Linked DNA regions of Tribolium castaneum. The protein of the gene in region 4 interacts with the protein of the main gene of each other region in a pairwise test. Links are inferred from orthologs where the notes say so. Each region holds a gene or a part of one and is shown on either strand. Other genes may lie near its edges.

Region 1 (5,471 bases), on a different chromosome or scaffold from region 4:
TGCTCCCTTGACTTACAATAAATTACAGCTGAAAGACAACAAAACTCAACCACAAACAACATAAAATCAAAAGCAACGGGAGAAAATGGAACTGCACACACAACTCCTGAGCCCACTTGGGTACACGAGATTTTTCAGGTACTGTTGTTCGATTTGTTGGGTTAAAACTCACAAATTTTTTATTCCATGTAGGGTATATTGACAAGTGAAACTAGGTGTTTGAATTGTGAGAATGTGAGCAGTAAAGATGAAGACTTTTTTGATTTACAAGTGGACATCGAACAGAACACTAGTATAACTCATTGTTTGAGGTGTTTTAGTAATACAGAGACTCTGTGTAGCGATAATAAATTTAAGTGTGATAACTGCAGTAGTTACCAGGAAGCTCAAAAACGAATGAGGGTGAAGAAACTGCCGATGATTCTTGCATTGCATCTCAAGAGGTTCAAGTACATGGAACAGTACAACAGGCACATTAAGGTCTCACACAGAGTTGTGTTTCCTTTGGAACTGAGACTTTTCAACACAGTAAGCAATTTGTTTAAATACCACCAGTTAACTAATTACTTGAGCTTTTGCACTCTTAATAGACTAAAATTTTCATAAGAAACATGAGAGAAAAATTATTCAAAATTTGCGCTTCGTTCCGTGTTTTTCAAAACACTGCGAATACGGTTAAAGATAAATGTCCGAGATTTTAATAATTTGAGTTTGAGCTACAGTTTAATTGTGTTTTCAGTCGGACGATGCAGTTAATCCCGACCGATTATACGATTTAGTAGCTGTTGTGATACATTGCGGAAGCGGACCTAACAGAGGCCACTACATCAGTATAGTCAAGAGCCACGGTTTCTGGCTGCTGTTTGACGACGACCAAGTTGACGTAAGTTTAGTGCGTATTTGAGAATTCCCGATGGTTATTATTGTGCTTTTGAATAGAAAATAGACGCTTCAACAATAGAAGATTTCTACGGCCTCACGTCTGATACTCAAAAGTCTTCAGAAACAGGCTACATCCTTTTTTACCAGTCTCGAGAGAGTTTATGAACTCTGCTGCTCCTTGCCTTAATCATTGAGAGGATTTAATACAAGTACAAAGTCACCTCTCATTGCATTGGGACGGGTAATGTTTATGAAAAAAGTCTGTAAATATGATTTGAAACTGAAAATTGTTGGATTTATATTTTATTTATTGCATATTGTAGTTTCCGGCCGTACTTTTTTCCTAAAATTTTTCTTTCAAAGCGATTTACCCGTACTTTTCGAAACGAATCGACGTTGATTTTGTTGTTCTGTTGCAATAAATAGCGATATGTTGAAAACAAGATTTACTTTATTGTGGTGGAACAGCATAGGAATAATTGACTGTATGGTGAATTTTACTTGTTTACTTAATTTGTTTTTTACAAACCTTATATTTATTCCAATTAGCAATAATTCTTAGGTGGTAACCAAACCGTGCATCTAATTTAGCGAGTATTATGTCCCCTACACGGTAAAAAAGTAAAATTCACTCTTCTTATTTTGTTAACAAATACTATACAACTTTTAAATATTATATGAGAAACTAGAACATACTGTATAAATGCTGCTAAGCAGATTTTATTTTTATTCTGTAAATATTCGTTAGATATAAATATATTTGAAAAAATGCACTGACTCGTTTCATTTCAAACACCCAAATTTGTTTTATGTCTTTATTACACAAAAGGCGTACAAATTAAGCAATAAATTCATATGGGATAGGAGCCAATTGAACGGCTGGTACTTTCCCACTGACGATGTGTGCAGGCCTTGGCTGTGCTGGCTGTCTCTTCAAATTCACTCGAATGTTCTTCTCCTTAGCTTCTTTTCGCAATTTTTCGTTTTGTTTCACTCTGGTCAAGAAGTCTTGCCTGCACTTGGAGTGATTCACGTGCTCAATACGGATATTGATACGTTTGGGGATAATACGGCCCCCAACACGCTTGTTAACAATCACACCCAAAGCGTGAGCCGTCACATTGAACACACGGCCAGTTTTCCCATGGTACACCTTGTAGGGCATGCCCTTCTGAACGGCTCCATTGCCCTTAATATCCACGATATCGCCGACTTTGTACACTTTCATGTACGTCGACAGGGGGATAACCCCATGCTTGCGGAACTTCCGAGAGAACAGGTCCCGGGTTCCCCTACGATAACCTTTCGAGTTCGTCATTTTTCAGACCTGCAAAAAGGGCACAAGTTATTATAAGACCAATATCTCAACACTGTAACGTTTATTTGTAGTTCAATTTTATCAAAATTATGAAATAAACATGATTTTTGTGCTTAACCTACCTGCCTTACAGAACACGTTTTAAAGAGGAAGAAAATGGCGGACGCAATTTCCGCTTGAGTCTTTTTCTAGCGACCTCTATCCTATTTTATAAATCGTAAATTATTTATTAAATTTGGTTTGTATTATCAAATTGATAATATAACAGGCATTTTGTGGTAAACACCGGTCCATTTGTTGTGCAAAAATGTGTAAAAAGCCACCAAGTGTATTGTTTAAAATATAGATTCCTGTATTGCCGATGTATTTTTTCTAACCACACTTCTTTGTTACAAAAAATATTTTGAAATTTGAAAATAAAAATGTCGAAAGTACGGGAAACACTTATTACAAACTGTGAACGAAAGTTTTTGATGAAATGCTTGTCGGAGTGGAGGGTAAAAGCGGCACATTTAATTTACAATTTAATTCCATCTTCCATTTAGAGGTTAGATGGTCGAAGTTTTGACGAGTTCAGGCCACTAGAGCTGAAATTTGGCAAACAGTGGGGTTCCTGTTACGTTTCTCTCGGCAACACAAAGTAACCTTCACTTATGAAACACTGACTTCAGTAAAGGAATAGAGTTTTAGCTCAAACATCATGCGAAATCCAACAACCCAAGTCTTCACGACCTAGTGAAGGAATTCTAAACATAAATATCGAGTTGAACCCACTGGCAGCCCCTCATTTCGAAGCGGGCAGACAGTCGGAATTGTCAGTGCAGTTGAACCGACTTTTGGAAAAATGTGTTAAAGATTCTAAAGCTGTTGATTTGGAATCATTGTGCATTAAAACCAACGAAAAAGTATGGGCTTTGAAGGTGGATATTAATGTTTTAAACCATGAGGGGAATATTCTGGACTGCGCCTCGATCGCCATGTTGGCTTCTTTGACTCATTTTAGGCGCCCCGATGTCACTTGTGATGGCGAAGAATTCATCATTCACAGTTACCAACAAAGGGACCCCATTCCTACGGTTATACACCACTATCCAGTCTGCATAACATACGCTATTTTTAATGGAGGGTAAAACACCTTTTGAAAATTTAATTGAAAGCTTGTATTATCATGTTATCCACAAAAAATACTTTAGCTGCACGAATTATCACTTAGAATTTTCAATTTGCGGACTTGCTTGTAGGAAATTTAATTCTCTACAACATTTTTTTGCGTGTATTCGCAGCGTTTATCCGTAAAAAATGAGCATTTTATTAAAAGGACTTGCAGTTTTTTTCTCTTAGGGAGTATATTCTTGCGGACCCGTCACTACTTGAGGAAGGTTCCGCAGATGCAATGCTAACAATAGGCCTCAACGGCTTTAAAGAACTGTGTGCCCTACATTTAGGGGGAAAAGCTGAACTTGCACCAAGTATTATCCTGAGTACAGTTTCTAAAGCCACATCTCGAGCTACTGTTGTGATAGAAGAAATAAAAAAATCAGTTAAGGCCGATACTGAACAAAGGTAAAACCAACAACATGTTGCCGAGTTATAAATTAAATTTCAGGCAAGAGAAGGCTTCGGTAGGCTTTCATACTGAAGATAATTTCAAAACAACTCTAGTCTTTGGCCAGAGCCTTGATACATGGCATACGAATAAAAAGAAAAGAAATAAAAAACATAAAAAAGCACAGCCACAATCCCAGAATACGGTCGTTATTGACAAAGGGTCAGTGGAACATGTGCCTCAGACCGAAAACAAGAAAGAAGTCTGGGACGTTGATAATAACAGTGACGATGACTTAATAATAGTCGAAAAACCTAAAGGTATTACTTAACTTAATTGAAACTAAAATCATGTTTTTTTTTCAGTTCAAATCGAACTCCTAACAGACAGTGAGGAAGACGATGTGGTGATACTAGGGCCTGTCAAAAATAAAAAATAACTTGTGGTTTTTTATTAAATGCATTTTTTTCTTAAAGTGTAATAATTTAATAAAACTTCTAAGGACCTAACTTCAAGTGGCGTCATTGTTCACACCGTTCTTTTGGTCAAGCTTATTGCTGTTTGTTTTGACTGTATAAATAAAAAATGTGACAACTTCCTTCTCCTTGACTTGGATCGACTTAAAGTGTTTCATTAGAGTCTGTGAATGTAATAATTAATACAAAACGTGGATTTTAACCGACTCACATCTGCCAGTTGTGCCTTGTTCAGTCCAGGTCTTGCGGAAACTTTGTAGTGCCTTTTGTACCTCCTCAAAGTGTTGACTCCTAGCTGAAACAGGTCGACTTCTGGCACGTCAGTGTCCGTCTCATTGCTGTCATCCTCCGAATCCTTCCTCCTCCTCTTGGTCCTTGCACACTGGATGATCATCTTGTGAAAGTCGCAGATGTAAATATGCTTCGCCTGGCAAAACAACAATAATTTTCCGATTGAACTTTGCGTTCGACTTACTGAATTATCAATACACAAATTTAACCTCCTTTGCGTCACTGTCTTCTGGATGCGCTTGCTGTATGAAGCATTACCGGCGATTTTGTTACAACGTTCACTATTGTCTATCAAACAGCAGATTTGATCAGTGGGTCCTCTTGAATCTTCCTCGCCCGTACTAAATCCGTTCATTATTCGAAGTGGGTACGTATTTATATAATTTGGGTGCTGATGCCAGTTGGGACGACTGTTCTGCACATCTCTTACACGATACTCGACGTTTTAACCGCACCGACACAATAAATAAAAAGCCAAATTAAACCGAAATGATCATATGGTTACACAAAACCACTATTTGACTGGAGTTGGGGCCTCGAGGGGGCTGAGAGGGGGTTTTAAGGCGTTTTGTTTGTTTGGGAAAAAGCGACATCTGCATTAGGTAATCATCACTTATACAACGTTTGGCTTAGCCAGGCAACGTACAGTCACCGGCGTAAAATTGGTTGCCGACCATAAAGCGTAATTTTTTAAACTCGTTTTTTATTATTCCTAAAATACGTCCGTGTGTCCCTATTCAGTTCCAAATGCACTTAAAAATTTTGGAAAAAAATGTGGGTATGTGAGAAAATTAAGAATAAAAACGATAGGACAAAATAATTATATAAGATAAGTGTTTTGAAGTACGAATTATCGTATACGGTTTCTACTCGTTGCAACAATCCGATGCAAAAGTAATTCGGAAACAGATAAAAAATTAGGAGAATTCAAAATATGCATGAAAGAATTTAGTTTAGT
Region 2 (4,516 bases), on a different chromosome or scaffold from region 4:
TAATACAGAGAATCTAATCGAATTAAAATTCACTTGGAAGTGTCGAAAACACCATCAAAACACGCTTTCGCTCGCACCGGTTTGTTTATTTTCCGCGAAAATCAGATTCATTAACCATCGACTGATTAAAACGCGGCTGCATTCGATGACGAGATCACACTTTCCTCCAAGATCAAAAATTATTTACGGCGTAATTACACCGACCACGGAACACTAAATTATTCCACGAGTGTTAATTGCCACCAACCATAAGGGCACAAGCGCTACTATTTCATTACAACACATAAATAACCCTAAAGGGATACAGGCCCTATTTACTCACACTATTCTGACATATCGCCGAGTTGCAGACGCCTTTTATGGCTCATTTCATTAATTCCGGCCAGATCTAGATCTATTTACAGATAAGATAAAGACGCTACAGAGTGAGCAAGCAAAATATCATCGATTAAACGCAGACCAGTTCTTAAAAATCGTCAATTTGGCGCGAGTCCTTCGCTTTGATTTTCAACAAACAATCCGTCAGATTGCGTTAAATTAATCGAATACGAAGCAATCAACAGTAAATTTAAGAAAACAAGTAGTAATAGCAGCTCCAGCGGCTGCTGTTGTAGGGAGAGACAATCTCTCGCTTGACTGCTTGCACTGATTACGCCTCTGTGACTTCAATATGCTAATTCTTGTATATATTATCAGGATTCATTGGAATCATGGGCTGGACATTGCGATCTGTTTGTCGGTGTTCATTAATTCTGGCTCAGGGACACCTCACACCTCTTATATTAGGTTTCTGTTAATTGTCCTGTATAAGGGCGCAACCTTCGGATTTTTATTGATCACAATAACGACGTTATTTGATTGATGAGATTGATGATTGTGGCAATTAAATTAATTGGGGAAGTGAATTAATTAATGAGTTACCTACGTCACTTAACTACTTAAGCTCGCGTATTTTTTTTAATTTTTAGATCGGGGAAATTGAATTACGATGCGTAATTAGACAGACAGTGTGAAGATAGATGTTTGGTATTCGTACAGCTATTAGACGTTTTAGCTGTCATTAAAGGAAAGTGTAAAGCAGTCAGGAAGTTCTTTTTGCAGAATTGCTAATAATTAGCCGACGATTTGATCAGTTCGCTTAGATGTTGTTACGGATGTTGGCAAGCAGTGATTTGCATATTGATGCTTTGTGATTTTAATTGCAAAATTTTGCATTTAAAAGGCAGAGAACAAGGGTTATGCCATCATAAAATAAATAAGTAGTGGCACGCCGCAGATCTTTGATCTTTGCCTTTGATCAAATCAGCTATTATTAAAAACTCACATAAATTCTAGGGGAAGAAATGTGAAGAAAATGGTTTCGAAATTTTTATGTTTTATTTTCTACAAGGCACACACATACATTTATTTACAATAAATACATACACACTGCCTCTTACATAGTCTAACACGAACAGTTTATAAACTAGCCTACTTATGATACAAGCAAGTAAGAAAAAAACTGTGCTATATTAAGAACACTACCGTTCGTACAATTTGTGGTTCAGTATTGCACCTAATCTGAATAATACTGAGTGTAAACAAACGACAATATTGATATTTGAAAAATTTCTGACAATGATTGTCAAAATGGCGTATACTTTTCGTCAGAAAATCCTACACTGTGTAAAACATTTCAGATTACGAAATAATGTACAAATGAATTTTATGTTCATATCATATCGTAGAAAGTTCACATGGATATGCAAAACTTTAACTTTATAAAAATTTTAATATACAATCTTCTATTCTGCGTTGTTACATGAAAAATGACTTTTCTACAGGTTTATACTGACGCTCATATGTACATGTAAAGCGGAGATATTTAATTAGAATAATTCCAAACAGTCATAGTAAAGTAATTGGGTTGGATTACAAAATAGAAATTATATACAGGTGTGTTTATGTACACGAAGTGCGAATTCTGAGCAATAAGAAAAGTTAAGTACTGAAATTGTTATCGTTCCTCTCCATGCCCAAAATCAGTCTTAAAAATCAAACAATCACTAACTGATATGCTCCACGACACTGGACGTATTTTAAGGAAAAAACTTAATATCTCGTTTAAAACGAATGCATAATACCAATCGAAACATTGCTAAGCACTGTACGCTCTGATCTAAAACCTACTTTATACTTTTATCTAAGCAAAACTCGTACGTTATGTTTATGTAGCCGTGCTTGTGAACAGCATGGAATTTTTGTAATACCCGGAACGATCTTGAAGCGGTGACTTCACGTCTCTCTCAACTTGTTGCTGCCGGGATTTTCTCTCCAATTCGAGTTCTTGTGCTAAGGATTCTGCAAAAAGAAAACGGTTTACTCAAACACAAAGTTTTACATTTTTAAAACTTTAAACATTGATTTAGACCAATTAGTTCGTGGGATTGTCTAAAGTCTATTTTTCAGGAGCCTTTATTCTATATTTTGGTTTCGAAAAACTGTAATTATTAATTTTTTCAAATAAACAAGCACTAGAATCGATAATTTTATTTGAATCTTCGGCGAAAATCACGTTCTGTAAGAAAGACCAGCCCTTGAATCTGTTGTGTTTTATTTGTTCCTGAAATGTGTAATTTGACCAATCAAAATATTAAAATCACCTCCTACTTGTTTATCAGGTGCACAAAAAATTTCAAGACGATTGAAGCGTTTGTCATTGGATATGGGAGGGAGATTGCACTCCCAATTGTAAAGCGGGCCAATCATAAGGCGATTAAAACTCAGCAAAAAACTGTTGTTTGATTATTTCCTAAATGTCGGCCAAAGCAACTAGAATTTCGCTGTTTTCTATGAAAATTACAATATTTCTATTACACTTGAGTTCAGAAATCGTGGATAAATTGTGGATCGATTTGTTTTTGATAAAGATTATTTCTCGCAATTAGTTCGTCTTCAAACTCAAACATTTCGTACGTTTATGAGCAAAAACTCAATTGTTTCGCAAAATTTTCTCACAAAACTCACAAATGTACCAATTTAGGTCAAAAATCTTTATGTTTTTAGTTATTAACTTGGGAATTTCATATTTATGATTTATGTTTTTATTTAGACAATTTGATGATCTCTGAGAAGCAAAAACAAAAAATTGTGTGCTACATTTAATTTTTTTACAAACTTCTCATTTGTTTATGAGTGTTTCCAGTCTTTCAATCTCATAGTTTCTTAGTGTTTCCCATATTTTATATTCATTTCTTTTTTTTTGTTTTTCGTTGTTTCACTGTCTCTACAGTTTTTTAGCTTTCTTCTGTACAACCTTTTTAGCTTCCTAAGAGTCTAGTCTCTTATTTTTAATTTATCTTAATGACATTGTAAACTATTGTGATTGTGATTTTGTTAATTTGTTTGCCGATGACACATTGGTAGCATGCTATGACACTGATCTTGATAAATGTATTCAAAAAATGAACAAGGCTCTCGAAATACTTGAAAAATATTTTAACACAAATAAACTTAAAGTAAACGTGTCCAAAACTAAAACTATAATTTTTACAACTAAATATAAATACAACCAAATTGATTTTGCCAACATTAATTTAAGCATATATAACATAACTGTAGAGTTTGTTAATAAATGTAAGTATTTAGGATTTTACCTAGATAGCTTGCTCGATTTTGAGAGTCATCTCGATTATGTTTGTAAAAAAATTAGGACGAAATTGTTTTTTTTCTTAAGAATATCTACGCATGTGTCAATGCAAACAAGAATTTTAATTTACAATTGTATTGTCCAACCACATTTTGATTATTGTGCCACACTTATGTACCTGCTACGGCCTAGTCATGTTGTACAACTGCAAAAGCTTCAGAATAGAGGAATGCGTATAATTTTAAGATGTAACCGCTTAACACCTATAAAATGTATGTTATCGGCCCTAATGTGGTTTTCTGCGACGCAACGACTGTATTATTCTACCATGATTTTTGTATATAAAATAATTAAGCTTGGAGTACCAGAGTATTTCAGTGAATATCTTATTTGCAGAAATAGTGTACACAATTACCAGACTAGGGATTCTTCCAAAATTAATGTTCAAAGTGTAAATTACCGACAAACAATGTTATCTTTATTTTTTAAGGGTATTAATGAATATAATAAGTTACCAAACAATATTAGAAATGCAGGTACCCTATCTATATTTAAATCAAAAATCAAAGATTATGTGAAGATAAGTGTGCAATAAGTGTGACTTGTATCCACTAATGTAATTTTTTATTTTTTTTATTTTTTAACTATTGTAACTAGGTTTCCTATTTAATTAATAAATTCTTCTTCTTCTTCTCTATAATATAGTGGAGGATAAGTTGGAAATAAAATAGATAAAGGGTCGGTGTTCGGGTTATCATAGTCGTGTTAATCCGTGTGTCAGTAATGGGTTTTAGTCAAATGGAATCGTAGGAAGAGTCGGACAGACGGACAAACCGCTTAGCACAGTCGAAGGGAGTTAATTTAGCTAGGCGGCAATGCCATTATCCC
Region 3 (6,167 bases), on a different chromosome or scaffold from region 4:
ATTGACTCGCAGTGAAATGTTCCGACGAACACGTTTTCTGTCAAACCATTTGACATTAGTTCTCGTCCACTTCTGTCGGACGTCAATGGTTTTCTTCAGCGGCGGTTTTCAACAACAAATTAAGATCTATGCAATTATTTTTTACAAAAGTTAGATTTCTTCCACTTATTTGTATCGAAAAGTCTACTCTGCACGAACATTTCCGGGGTTTTTATGCGTCCCCAAGGTAGGCTTCTAGTGTCAACCATAATCATCTATTTTTGTTTTTGTTATTGTTTATTTACAAAATCGGTAACAGCACGCTTTCAGCAATCACTGTCTTATCACTTGCATCGTTTCGTCCACTTCCCGAGATGCGAGACTGTTGACAATTTTGTATTTATGGTGGTCATTTTTGTAGTTGGAGATATGTCAGGGTTAGCCACAACAGCACCCTCATCGGCTGACGCTTGCCTGAGCATTGTGCACAGTCTCATGTGCCACAGACAAGGGGGAGAAAGCGAAGGCTTCGCCAAACGTGCTATAGAGTCCCTGGTGAAAAAGCTAAAAGAGAAAAGGGATGAACTAGACTCGCTTATCACTGCTATAACCACCAGTGGGGCACATCCGAGCAAGTGCGTCACGATCCAGAGGACTCTCGACGGCCGCCTGCAGGTACACACAAGCTTTCCTTGCAATTCTCTCAAGCGTTGTTGCTACAGTTTCTGTGTTGTTTAGGTTGCCGGACGCAAGGGCTTTCCGCACGTTATCTACGCTCGAATCTGGCGATGGCCCGACCTCCACAAAAACGAACTCAAACACGTGAAATATTGTCAGTTTGCGTTTGATTTAAAATGTGACTCAGTATGTGTGAATCCGTACCATTACGAACGGGTAGTGTCCCCCGGCATTGACCTCTCTGGACTTACGTTGCAATCTGGAACCGCTCGATTAGTGAAAGATGAGTACACCGCTGGACCGGTCCCTGGAGGCAGTATGGACGTAGACAGCGAAATCGGCATTGAAGTCTCCCAGACCATCCAACACCAGCCCCCACAGCAGAATTTCGCCCTGAGCGGACTTCAGGCACCTTCCACAAGTAAGCTGCGTGTTCTCACTCACTAGTCTATTGTATTCTCTGATTCGAAGACTTTTTATTTTAAGAACCCACTTTTCGTATTTTTAGTTATGCATGTTATGTTTTCGTTGTTGTGGTAGGTGAACAGGGAATGTATAATTCACCAAACAGACCAGTTATGGGACATCCCGTACCTAAAATTGAAGGGGGAGTTGACGCATGTTCCAGATCTAGTTGGTTACCGCACATGCATATACCTCATCGTAAGATTCTTTTTGTTTTATTTTGCATTTTCTCAAAGCACTGTTGTGTTACTCGTATTGTAGGTTTAGTCTAGTTCGTACAAAAAAACGCCCGTCTCAGTGTTACTACTATTGCATCGTTTTAAATATTTTTCTTACACCTTAACTTCAAATTTCCACTTAGTAAATGCTTTTCCGGTGACTTCATTTTATCGATTGTACTCAATGTTAGTGTTCAGTTAATTGCTACGTGAAGATAAAGTAGTGAGTTCTTCCAACAAACACACAAGATTTGGTGTTTATACCGGGTGTTCCAGCAACTTGGTAAAGATGATTTAAAATTACCGAATAATTGTTTTGTTTTCAAAATGCCAACACTAAATTATTTCAAAATGTACCTTCAGTTTAACTTTATAAGTTAAGTAGAAACGAAAATCGTGAACAAAATAAATAATTTGATCCCTCATTATATTATGAATTATTAAATTATAAAATACAGCAAGCGTTCTTTTATTAAAAACGATAGAAGTGTACATAATTTATTATTTGTCGACGTTTTTAAATCCCGAACGACTGTTAATATTCTAAACTCAAAAAAACTTTTAAAGGTAATAGATCACCTGGAATTATTATCAGTTAGCGGGGTGTTCGACAATTTTCGAAACATTATCTCACTTGGGCTAGATTACAAATTTAAATATAAAAAATATTTGATTTCATTTTTGACGTTTAGTTTTTATTATTGGTGATGTTGAGCTAAACTTTTATTGATCGATTTTTCTTAGTTCTGTTACAAAAACGGAGTTTTCCAAAAAAATACTACAAAAATAATATTTTCACTTGGAGTAAACTAGCGAGTTGGTTTTTAGTACTTATTATTCTTTTCTGAGAACAACCAGTAATGTACTCTGGGCAGGGTCCACACTCAGTCTGTAGCTGTACCTGTGTTCACACTTCGGTTACAAAGGTCGTAAATTGTAAAAGATCGCGTGGCTAATATTTTAATCTCTTAAATTTGTGAAAGTTTTCTTTGAAAGAAGTCAATAATCTTATTGTTCCCTGAACTGTGCCTGATAGGTACTTAGAAATTAGAAACCAGGATTCAGGTATAAGGAAGTTCCATTTTATCAGTGTCTGGAAACAACAGAATACAATGTAGGTCTAATTTCATAGCTTAAGATGTTTCGTTACAACAGTCAGAAAATTTACAAATTGATACCAAATATACAGTACACATCAAAAGTCTGGAATAAAATTAAAATTTTTTTGGAGGACCATTTTGTAACCTATTATTTTATAAATATAAAAATTGTATAAAATAAATAAACTGTTTCATAATACATTATTTTGTCTGATTACTGTTGATATTTCTCTAAAATTTTTATACACGGTAGTGAAGTTACATTAAAAACTGAAAAAAAAAACAATTGCTGCATCGATACTTCTATTTATATGGAGTTGATGAAATCAAACAAATTTATTTTCTGATAAAACTAAAATTTTGAAAACAATTATTTTTCGGATTTAAGAGATTTATTAGATATGTACGCACATTCACAATCACTTACGGGGAAAAAAAATATAGATTGATTTTATGTAATATTTTGTTTCTTAACAAATATTTATTTTGGTGACAATGCTTTCATTTTCGTGACAGCTTATAATTATTTACTACAAGACACAAAAATTAGAATTAAATGAACAGGAAAGTTTCGGCGACGCTTTGAACGAAAAAAAAAAATTCTTTAAAGGTAGTAATAATATTTATTGTGTGAGTGAGTTTGAAGTAGTATTTTTTAGAGACGCGTGTTTTATTTAAATTTTGTGCAAATTACTGTTATTCATCTTCTAATTGTAACCGATATTAGGTGGGAGTAACCCTCCCGTGTCGCCCCATTTGCAACAAAACGGGTTCAACAACTCCACCCATACGACAACTGCTGTTGTTAACAACAACGGTGGTACCATAAGCGGCAGCCAACCCGCGGCTACGGCTACCATGGGCCAATCGTTCACTGGGGCTGGTGGTACTTGGACAGGATCTAATACGTTAACCTACACCCAATCAATGCAGCCCCCTGATAACCGCACCCATCACACAGCTTACTGGAACACAAACCAATGCAACGACGTAAACATCGCTGGTCTGTTGTCCACCCAGCCAGCCCCCGAGTACTGGTGTTCCGTCGCCTACTTCGAGCTGGACACTCAAGTGGGTGAAACGTTCAAAGTACCCTCAAGCTGCCCGAATGTGACAATTGACGGCTACGTCGACCCCTCTGGAGGCAACCGGTTTTGCCTTGGTGCGTTGAGTAATGTGCACAGGACGGACCAAAGCGAGAGAGCGAGACTGCACATTGGCAAGGGGGTTCAGTTAGATTTAAGGGGCGAAGGCGACGTTTGGTTGCGCTGCTTAAGTGACCATTCCGTTTTCGTCCAGAGTTATTATCTGGATAGGGAGGCTGGACGACAACCCGGCGATGCCGTACACAAAATTTACCCGTCAGCCTACATAAAGGTATTGTTTCACGTCGGAAAATCGGGGTTTTAATTGCCGTTGCAGGTCTTTGATCTAAGGCAGTGTCACAACCAGATGACAACTCAGGCAGCCACAGCACAGGCAGCGGCGGCGGCACAGGCGGCGGCGGTGGCGGGGCACATCCCTGGACCGCACTCAGTCGGCGGGATAGCGCCAGCCATAAGTAATTATTTATTTCATTTTTTTACAATACTTATTTTTATGTAAAATTTTCTACTGAACTCACATTCATTGGTCTTTTGTTGTCTGCCTGTCTGTTTCATATTTTCCGGGACAAATTTGAAACGGTTTCTGTTGTCCAAATGAATTGAAATTTTGCATACTTACGTAATCTGCATGACAATGCAATCGAATGTAGTTAATCACCCCCTGAGAGGGTTAAAGAGGTTAAAAGGGATGTTATCTTTTAGGTTTGTCGGCAGCCACGGGAATAGGGGTTGACGATTTGCGAAGACTGTGCATCCTGCGCCTCAGTTTTGTGAAAGGTTGGGGCCCGGATTATCCTCGACAGTCCATTAAAGAAACGCCTTGTTGGGTTGAAATCCACCTGCACCGCGCTCTGCAACTGCTGGACGAAGTGCTTCATACTATGCCGATTGATGGACCCCGTGGGATAGAGTAATTGTGTGAATATTTTGATCCCCTTTTGGTAGTTCGGTGGGCAAACAACGATTGTTGTCAATTCCGAATTTTATGTTTGGCACGATTTGACGGCGGCAAGTTTGACAAAATATTTTGTAAGTGAGTAGTTTATAAGTTTGTAAATTACGCTTATATAATACTTAATTTAATAAGTTTGTAGTGATAATCACTTATTTTCTACATGAATATATATTTTGTAAATATATTGCAAACAATTGCCTTACAGTCGGACAGAACTTTTCATATATTTTCATAAAATTACCTTTTTTCAATTGGTTTGTGCCATTTTATTTTGTAGAAGATGGATGCCAAATTTGAAGTAGTAATCGCACACGAAATGATAAGGGTAAATATGTACATTAGGCTGTGAAAAACTGAGTAGTGTGTAAGTTTTTTTCGTTTTTGTTGCTTGATATTAGTGTGGTACTGAATGTCTTATTTAAGGAACCTCTTTTTGTATTTTTCTTGTCACAAGTACCTAACAAACTGCAATTTTTTCATTTGCTGTGTAAATGTAGATAGGTATAATATAGATATTGTCTGACACAATGTATGCTACTTTTTTGAGAATTACGCCATTATGACATGTAATTGACATTTTATTTGCATAATATTGTATTTAAAACTTGTGGAGTAAATGCTTCATCATTCCACAAAAGATCTCACATAACAAGAAACAACATGCTGTTACCAAAATTTTTACTACATTCGTGATTAAGTTTTTTACAGTTCAAGTAGGTAGTAACGATGTGCTGAGATCACAGAAATCATGCGTTTGATTGCTTATTTTTGTTTATTTATAAGCAGTTCACTTGACATTTAAAATAGCACAGGATCCAATCATTTATTTATGGTTTTATGTAAATACCTAAAATGTAAAAATAATTCTTGTAAATATACAAAATTATTATAAGTGTTTATGAAAACATGTATTGAGTATTATAAATTTTTAACCTTTCACTATATTTTATTTGGAAATTGTTGATATATACATATTTTAATACATTTTTTTGACTGCATAATGAAATGTACATTTATGTTTAAGTGTTGTATTTACAAGAACGTATAAATTACAAGTCAAATAATTTTAAAATAATAAAATATTACATATAGAGCTATTTTTATTTTACCCTTTAACAATTGCCTATTACTCTCCTTGGCCGACCTAAAGTGTTCGCCATCAAATTGTCAGTCGCGGCATCAATAAAAAAATTAATAAATAATAAATAATAATTTGACAAAATTGTGTTTTTTGTTGAACTTAACAAAACGCCTATAGAAAAGAATAATATTTTGGTGACCCAATTTACTTATATATGGTTTGGCACCACGTAACACAATCTCGCAAAAGATTGAGTTTTCAAATTGTGGCTGAGGTCCGACAATCTTTTAATGTAATGTTGGTTGACTCAAAAATTTTTTCAGGCTCATTATTACTCTTGGACGAGCCTGTATAGTTTGTAATGTTGATTTATTTAAAAAGTTTGTGTTAAAATATCTGCAAAAGACGGTCAGTCCCTGGGGCCTGGTGGCCTAGTGGTATAAGCGCTACTTTCGACGGGGGAGGTCGGGTGTTCGAACCCGGATCAGGTGTAAAAAATTTTCTATGAAAAAAAGTATAGAAAAGGTAAGTAAACAACATGTAAACAAAAATAAGAGATTGAGAGAACACATAGACGTATAAACG
Region 4 (6,079 bases):
GGATAATTCGATTCAATGTGAAAAATAATGTAAGTGTAAATAAACTATTACACAGGTTGTTCCGTCTAAACCCTACATTAGAAGTATTGGGAGTTCTAATGATAGTTATCTGAAAATTTGTGTACAACCATAACCTTTTAGGTCCTGCTTAATAAAAATATTTTCAAAATGGTAGCACTTCCGGTTATATCAGAAGTCACTATCATGTTCCTCATTTTAAACGGAAAGCTATATTTTTTAATGCGTTTTTGAATTACTAGAGTTATTTTAAGGTTCTTTTCATAAGCTCTCACTAAACCTAAATTTATTCGTTTACAAAATATTACAAAATGTTTTTAATTTTTTTTTGGATTTGCACCTTCCAGTTCAAAAACTGATAACTCTACCACTTTTAAAAGATTTTAAATCTTTTTCAGCTTATTTAAAAGAGGAAGCCTAGAACTTTCCTTTGGCGTTTTCAAATTTCTAAAAAAGAATAACAAATAATTAAGTTATAGGTACCTGAAATTGTCCAAACTTAACCTTAAAATTTTTGGGTTTATTAACTTCATTTTCAATTTTAAACACACCAAAGAACAGATAAAGGCCTTCTTTTTTAATTCTCCTAATATGATTTCCAAATCGCTAAACTAACCGAGTTACCAATTTTTTAAGTGACAGGTGCAAATCCAAAAATTTTCAAAAAATCTTAAATATCCTAAAAACGGTAAATTTTAGGTATAGGGAAAACTCTTAAAATAACTCAACTAATCCAAAAACGCAGTGAAAAACATAGCTTTTCATTTAAAATAAGAAAGTTAACAGCGACTTCCGGTATAACCGGAAATGCTGCCATCTTGAAAATATTTTCATTGGCAGAACTTAACGGATTATGATTGACTACCAACTTTTAAAAAATTTCTTTATTAGAGCTTTCAATACTTCTAAAGTAAGGTTTAGACGGAACAGCCTGTAGTTTACCATAAATAACAATAAGCACTGAAACCTTTAGCCTGTATTTGAAGAAAACGCAATTTAAAGTGCACCCTCAAACCAATGTATCTTTATGGGAAAGCCCCGAATCTTTATTTTTTTCTGTATTTGAACTACTGAATTAATTTCTCTTTAGTGTTCTGAACTCCGAAATCGTCAATTTTGAGCCACCTTGTATTTTACGGTTTATTGAACCTAATTATTAATTTTTTGCAGCCTTGAAACTCATTCAGGAGGATTTTGACCAAGAAAATGCCAAGATCCAGGCAAAAGTTGATTTGCAGCAAGTGACGTCGAACTAATCAAATTCGCGCCAATGTTTTTGCCGCCAAATAATTATTACACAAATCCGGGTTTTTGTATTCGTTAAATTTGTTTAAAATCATACACGAAAAGTTTGAATAAATAAATTGTTCTGGAACAAATAATCGGCGACAGGGTGGCCAACACAAGTCGCGTCTGCGCGAATTCCCCTACCTGTTTTCCCAGTTTTTGTCTGTCAACTGTCAAGAAAGCACCGAAGCCCGTTAAATTTTCCTTTAGAGTTTGAATAAGGCCCCATTAAATACCCCAGTGCCCACTTTTAGAGTACGTTTTGGTCATTTCGTGCGATAATTTTGAGGTAGAGCCTGATTTTTAGTTCTAGGATGTCTGGAATTGCTCCCGCTCGTCTCGCCGAAGAACGCAAAGCTTGGCGCAAAGAACATCCTTTTGTGAGTAATTCCTTACAAAATTGCCCTCATGTAATCCATTTCTCCGCAGGGATTTGTGGCCCGACCGTCGAAAAACCCAGATGGCTCTCTAAATCTAATGAACTGGGAGTGCTCAATTCCTGGTAAAAAAGGGGTAAGTTTGTTGCATTGTTTAGTAATTGTTGGGTTATCGCATTGTTGTGTAGACGCCATGGGAGGGTGGAAATTACAAATTACGCATGTTGTTCAAAGATGAGTACCCAAGCATTCCCCCAAAATGTAAATTTGAACCACCGTTGTTCCATCCAAATGTGTATCCGTCAGGTACGGTGTGTTTGTCGTTGTTAGACGAGGAGAAAGATTGGAGACCGGCGATTACTATTAAGCAGATTTTACTCGGAATTCAGGACTTGTTGAATGAACCCAATGTTAAAGATCCAGCACAAGCAGAGGCCTACACAATCTACTGGTAAGTGGTTTTTTTACGGGGTGTTTACATTTGACGTAGTCAAGAGTGCTGTGGATATTGTGATCACGTGATCAAGGAAATTTCGTATCTAGTAATCCATGAAAATGAAAACTTAGTTTCGTAAAGAAAAGGCACTAAGACAATAAATGGACAAGGTTACACTACGGACATCTAAAGGTTAGGATACGAAATACAAATTAGTACAAATAAAGCGTTATTGTCCTCGATAGTTCCGTTAATGTCACCAGAGGGCGCAGTTGATCCATTAGCATCAAAGCCAGTAGATATACTAAAGTAGCGACACGGACCTTGACAGGGCAACAATAACGATTATATACTCTAGAGAGGGCGCAACTATCGAAATTCGACATATACCGCATTATTTACATAAAATGCGTAGCCTTGAAAAGCCTTAGTAAGTGCGTTTTGTCTCTGTTTCTACGTTTAATCTTCACTAAATGAAATTGCTAAAGGGGATGCTCTAAAGAGATATTCGTTAAAGGTCACATTAGATGATAGATTTAAATCGAGAATGTATTTAAACAGGCAGTTTAGTTTTCCAAGGCTCGACATTTTTTGTAATAACGCTGTAATTTTAAAGGTTCGCCAAATTGTCAGTAATTTTGAACATACGTCAAAACTGTCAAGATTCTCTCACTTTTGAAAAATTGGTAAAGAGCACAGTGATTCTGGCGTTCATCTGTAGTTTTACTGTGGTTATTGGTTATGAACAGATTTCATGGAACTTTCAAACCTGTGCTTAAATCACGTAAATAATAAATCGACACCAAAAACATTAAACAAAAGGGCCTCCAGACTGTTCAAAGTCGTCCACATTACGAAGCACGTCTGTGTGAGAATACTGGAAACTCATTCAAACAAAAATTGTTTCAGAAACATAAAGTGTTAGGTACCAACTTGAAAGAGAAATTTCTAAGATACCAAATTTTCAATAAGTATTTCAGGTAGATTTAAACAATACTTCCTTGAAAATTCTTCTAAATTATTAGATTCTGTCCTAATGGGAAAGAATTTAAGACCGCTCTGCTTACACTGACCTTCGTTTCACAAAATTTAATGCATCTAAATCTGGGAATTGTAGCGCATCGAAGTTTGGTGGACTTTTTATAGCCACTTATTTACAGCAACTATGGTATGCAACATTTAAATAATAAAGAGAAATTCAGGTTGTATTATTTCTATTTCTTAGGTAATATCGAGGTGTAAACCGTACCCCAAATTTTGTACACCTGTAATTTAATCATGATTCCTTCTGATTTTTCCCTAAATTTTTAAAGTGATTTCCTTAAAATTTCTTGATTTACTCAATTTTGTACACTGATTTCCTCTGCGGTTTACCTCTCGGGTAATATTGAAAACATTTTCTATTCTTATTGCGAAAAATGTCTTGGTTTCATAGCAGTTGTTAATAGTGTTGAGGGAAAAAATTAAATTTAATTAAAAAAAAATAAATCGACCAATTTAAAATCTTGGAGTAATTACATACGATAAACTGTAAAAACACTTAGAGAGGAGTTTATTAAAATTAGAAATGTAAGTATCACAATTTTTTTAAATCAAACAACTATTATTTTGAAACGTGTTTTTGGCTTTTTCGTTAAATACAAAGTTCAAATTCTTTTAAGGAATGAATTCACTGTTGAAGCGCCAGCACCTTCTTCGAAATGTCCATAAGAGTTGCTGTATTCTGCGCATTCTAAAAGCCTTTCTCATTGCAATGTTCAGTTGAATTTAGGGACGATCTGATTTACTTTTACGTGAGTGAAGCACAAGTTTGAAGGTTTCATGGTATCTGTACACATAAACTGTAATAACCAGGGTGAAATTAAAGACGATCACCGAATTCATTGTTCTGATTCACCAATTTTTCAAACGTGAAAAAATCTTGACATTTTTGACGTACGTTTTTGAATTTTGATGGTGGAGCCATCTGTAGAGTGTATAATCGTTATTGTTGCCCTGTCAAGGTCCGTGTCGCTACTTTAGTATATCTACTGGCTTTGATTAGCATCAGGTTTTCAGAGCAATGAATTTAAAAAAATTGTTGGTAAATTTTTACTTTAGCTACTTCTGGATTTTTGAAAATTTTTTTTTTGCATTTTGCTTTAAAAAGCCTCTAGATCAAAGATATGACCTTGAAAGTTTGTGCAAATGCCCCGTTTTTGAAAAATTCGACCTTGAATGACCTTGACCTAAAAATTTTTTTAAAATTTTTCCTTTAAAATTGTGCCGATTGAAAATATGACCTTGAGAGAATTTTAATTGTGTTGCCATTTGGTCATACATAACATGGGGTCGAATTATACACCTGATAGTTAAAAAAATGTTACACTCAAATTTTGTTAACACTCGCTAATAAATGATATTAACCGTAAATGCAACTACAAATCAAGCACGGCGCCTACAGATGATAACCCGTAGGCTGGGGCTTCGCCCCAGCGAACTAAAAATAAACATACCCCACGAACGATTGAACTCGAAAATGTAGAACTCGAAACGTGGAATAATGGTTTTTATTGAATCTTTATTAAATGTGCACTATGAATTTCTTCACGACCCCATGAAATGTATGTCTAGTGAGACCACGAAGAGGCGGCAACGCTCTCACCGGGAGGGAAAGGTCTAGGTGTGTTATTATTGGTAGGTATGTTAGTACCAAAAAAGTATAATGAAAGATATGCAAAATACCAGAATGAAATACAGCCTCAAAAGCTGAAAATAATCGGTACAAATGGCTAGCCCCAAGTGCAAAATGTGGTAAAAAAAAATGAAAAAATTAACAATGGGGAATTCCGGGGTAAAGCTGTGATGCCGCGGTCCAGAAATGATGTAGACGCTCTCGATGATCTGAGTAGGTCCACAGGAAAAGTGCTTCGGCCAAGTAGCCTTCGTAATGATCTTTGCTACGGCCTGCCCGCGGCATTTTTCTTCGCACTTCCACCCAACATCTTTCGATGTTTTGAGTGTGTGCACCGGTGTTTGGGTCAACGAAATTGAGGGAATGGTTGACTGTGAGGTGGTGATAATGTTCTTGAGACAGACAATCATAAGCTCTCCAACAATCACTCATAATTGTCGTCCCAGGGAGAATTCTTTCCTTGATGATGGAAAGGAGAGTTTCTGATGTGCGATCTGGAATTGCCACAAAGAAAGAGCGTTTCGTTTCACGCTCAATTCCGCCAAACACCCATTGGCCCTCCAGGTATCGGCCCCTGTTGTATTTCCGCTTGCCAATTTTGGTTTCGTCAATCTCAACAGTTTTGCCTTCACCACCAAGAACCTCAGAATGTTGAACAGACCAGAAAATGAAAACTTCCCTAATAAAAGAAAACCAGTCAACCAGTGTTCGAGAACTAATTTCCATTTCATTTGAAATGAAACGACACCTTGGATTGTTTTGAAACAAATACAAGTGCACCAATTTTGCTACTTGTGGTAAAGTTAAATGGGAATGTTCGAAAAAGGTGTCCTTGAAAACCGAAGAAAAAAAATTGCATTTCCGTTTGTTTTTTTTGTTGAATTTTTGGCACCTGAAAACGAAATCGTGCATTTCCAAACGTGAGTTGCACTTGGGGCACTGAATGTGGCAAGGAAAAACATGATGACGAATGAAAAAATTCAAAAGGCGTTGTTGGTCCGCCATGATGTTAAAAAATGTATCAACTTTTAAAGAACAAGTTGTACAATGATTCGCATACGCATACTCACAAGCCGCTGCCTCTGGATCCATTTTTTTCGAATTGAAAACTGAAAATTGTAATTTCTTGAATAACAAAGAAAAACAATTGCACTGGCACAAAAACTACCTTCTTCACCATCAGCAAGTAAAATAGTGATGGTGAAATGCATGAAGGGACATGCGGAAATGCAACTACGCATCTCCCACTTCCGTCAATCAGCGAATCAGAGCACAGAGACATAAATT

What was found.
Region 1: the proteins of lwr (region 4) and Rrp45 interact in a two-hybrid assay, tested with the Homo sapiens proteins (2 studies listed by BioGRID and IntAct). The link is inferred for Tribolium castaneum from reciprocal best matches to the Homo sapiens genes UBE2I and EXOSC9.
Region 2: the proteins of lwr (region 4) and dac interact in a two-hybrid assay, tested with the Homo sapiens proteins (2 studies listed by BioGRID and IntAct). The link is inferred for Tribolium castaneum from reciprocal best matches to the Homo sapiens genes UBE2I and DACH1.
Region 3: the proteins of lwr (region 4) and Med interact in binary tests that used the Homo sapiens proteins (3 or more experiments, as listed by UniProt). The link is inferred for Tribolium castaneum from reciprocal best matches to the Homo sapiens genes UBE2I and SMAD4.

Annotation. Positions count from the first base shown.
Region 1 is NC_087402.1:3,055,740-3,061,210, reverse strand, and holds Rrp45 (uncharacterized protein Rrp45), read left to right. Parts: upstream 1-2,475; 5' UTR 2,476-2,622; coding exon 2,623-2,697; intron 2,698-2,745; coding exon 2,746-2,840; intron 2,841-2,882; coding exon 2,883-3,326; intron 3,327-3,541; coding exon 3,542-3,763; intron 3,764-3,806; coding exon 3,807-4,066; intron 4,067-4,111; coding exon 4,112-4,185; 3' UTR 4,186-4,255; downstream 4,256-5,471. Other genes in the region: Usp12-46 (ubiquitin carboxyl-terminal hydrolase 46), read left to right, coding at 29-138, 193-528, 740-883, 940-1,047; RpL21 (large ribosomal subunit protein eL21), read right to left, coding at 1,721-2,200; histone deacetylase complex subunit SAP30 homolog, read right to left, coding at 4,258-4,386, 4,434-4,649, 4,698-4,868. UniProt on the Homo sapiens protein: Non-catalytic component of the RNA exosome complex which has 3'->5' exoribonuclease activity and participates in a multitude of cellular RNA processing and degradation events.
Region 2 is NC_087402.1:1,975,809-1,980,324, forward strand, and holds the end of dac (dachshund homolog 1), read right to left. Parts: intron 2,341-4,516; coding exon 2,207-2,340; 3' UTR 1,359-2,206; downstream 1-1,358. UniProt on the Homo sapiens protein: Transcription factor that is involved in regulation of organogenesis. Seems to be a regulator of SIX1, SIX6 and probably SIX5.
Region 3 is NC_087403.1:6,335,164-6,341,330, reverse strand, and holds the end of Med (mothers against decapentaplegic homolog 4), read left to right. Parts: intron 1-30; exon of another isoform or gene 31-213; coding exon of another isoform or gene 214-226; intron 227-309; exon of another isoform or gene 310-381; coding exon of another isoform or gene 382-400; coding exon 401-654; intron 655-717; coding exon 718-1,078; intron 1,079-1,197; coding exon 1,198-1,320; intron 1,321-3,167; coding exon 3,168-3,817; intron 3,818-3,862; coding exon 3,863-4,001; intron 4,002-4,248; coding exon 4,249-4,460; 3' UTR 4,461-5,592; downstream 5,593-6,167. UniProt on the Homo sapiens protein: In muscle physiology, plays a central role in the balance between atrophy and hypertrophy. When recruited by MSTN, promotes atrophy response via phosphorylated SMAD2/4.
Region 4 is NC_087399.1:9,252,191-9,258,269, reverse strand, and holds the start of lwr (SUMO-conjugating enzyme UBC9-B), read left to right. Parts: upstream 1-1,412; 5' UTR 1,413-1,560; intron 1,561-1,612; 5' UTR 1,613-1,619; coding exon 1,620-1,685; intron 1,686-1,734; coding exon 1,735-1,818; intron 1,819-1,870; coding exon 1,871-2,133; intron 2,134-6,079. Other genes in the region: transmembrane inner ear expressed protein, read left to right, coding at 1,189-1,274. UniProt on the Homo sapiens protein: Accepts the ubiquitin-like proteins SUMO1, SUMO2, SUMO3, SUMO4 and SUMO1P1/SUMO5 from the UBLE1A-UBLE1B E1 complex and catalyzes their covalent attachment to other proteins with the help of an E3 ligase such as RANBP2, CBX4 and ZNF451.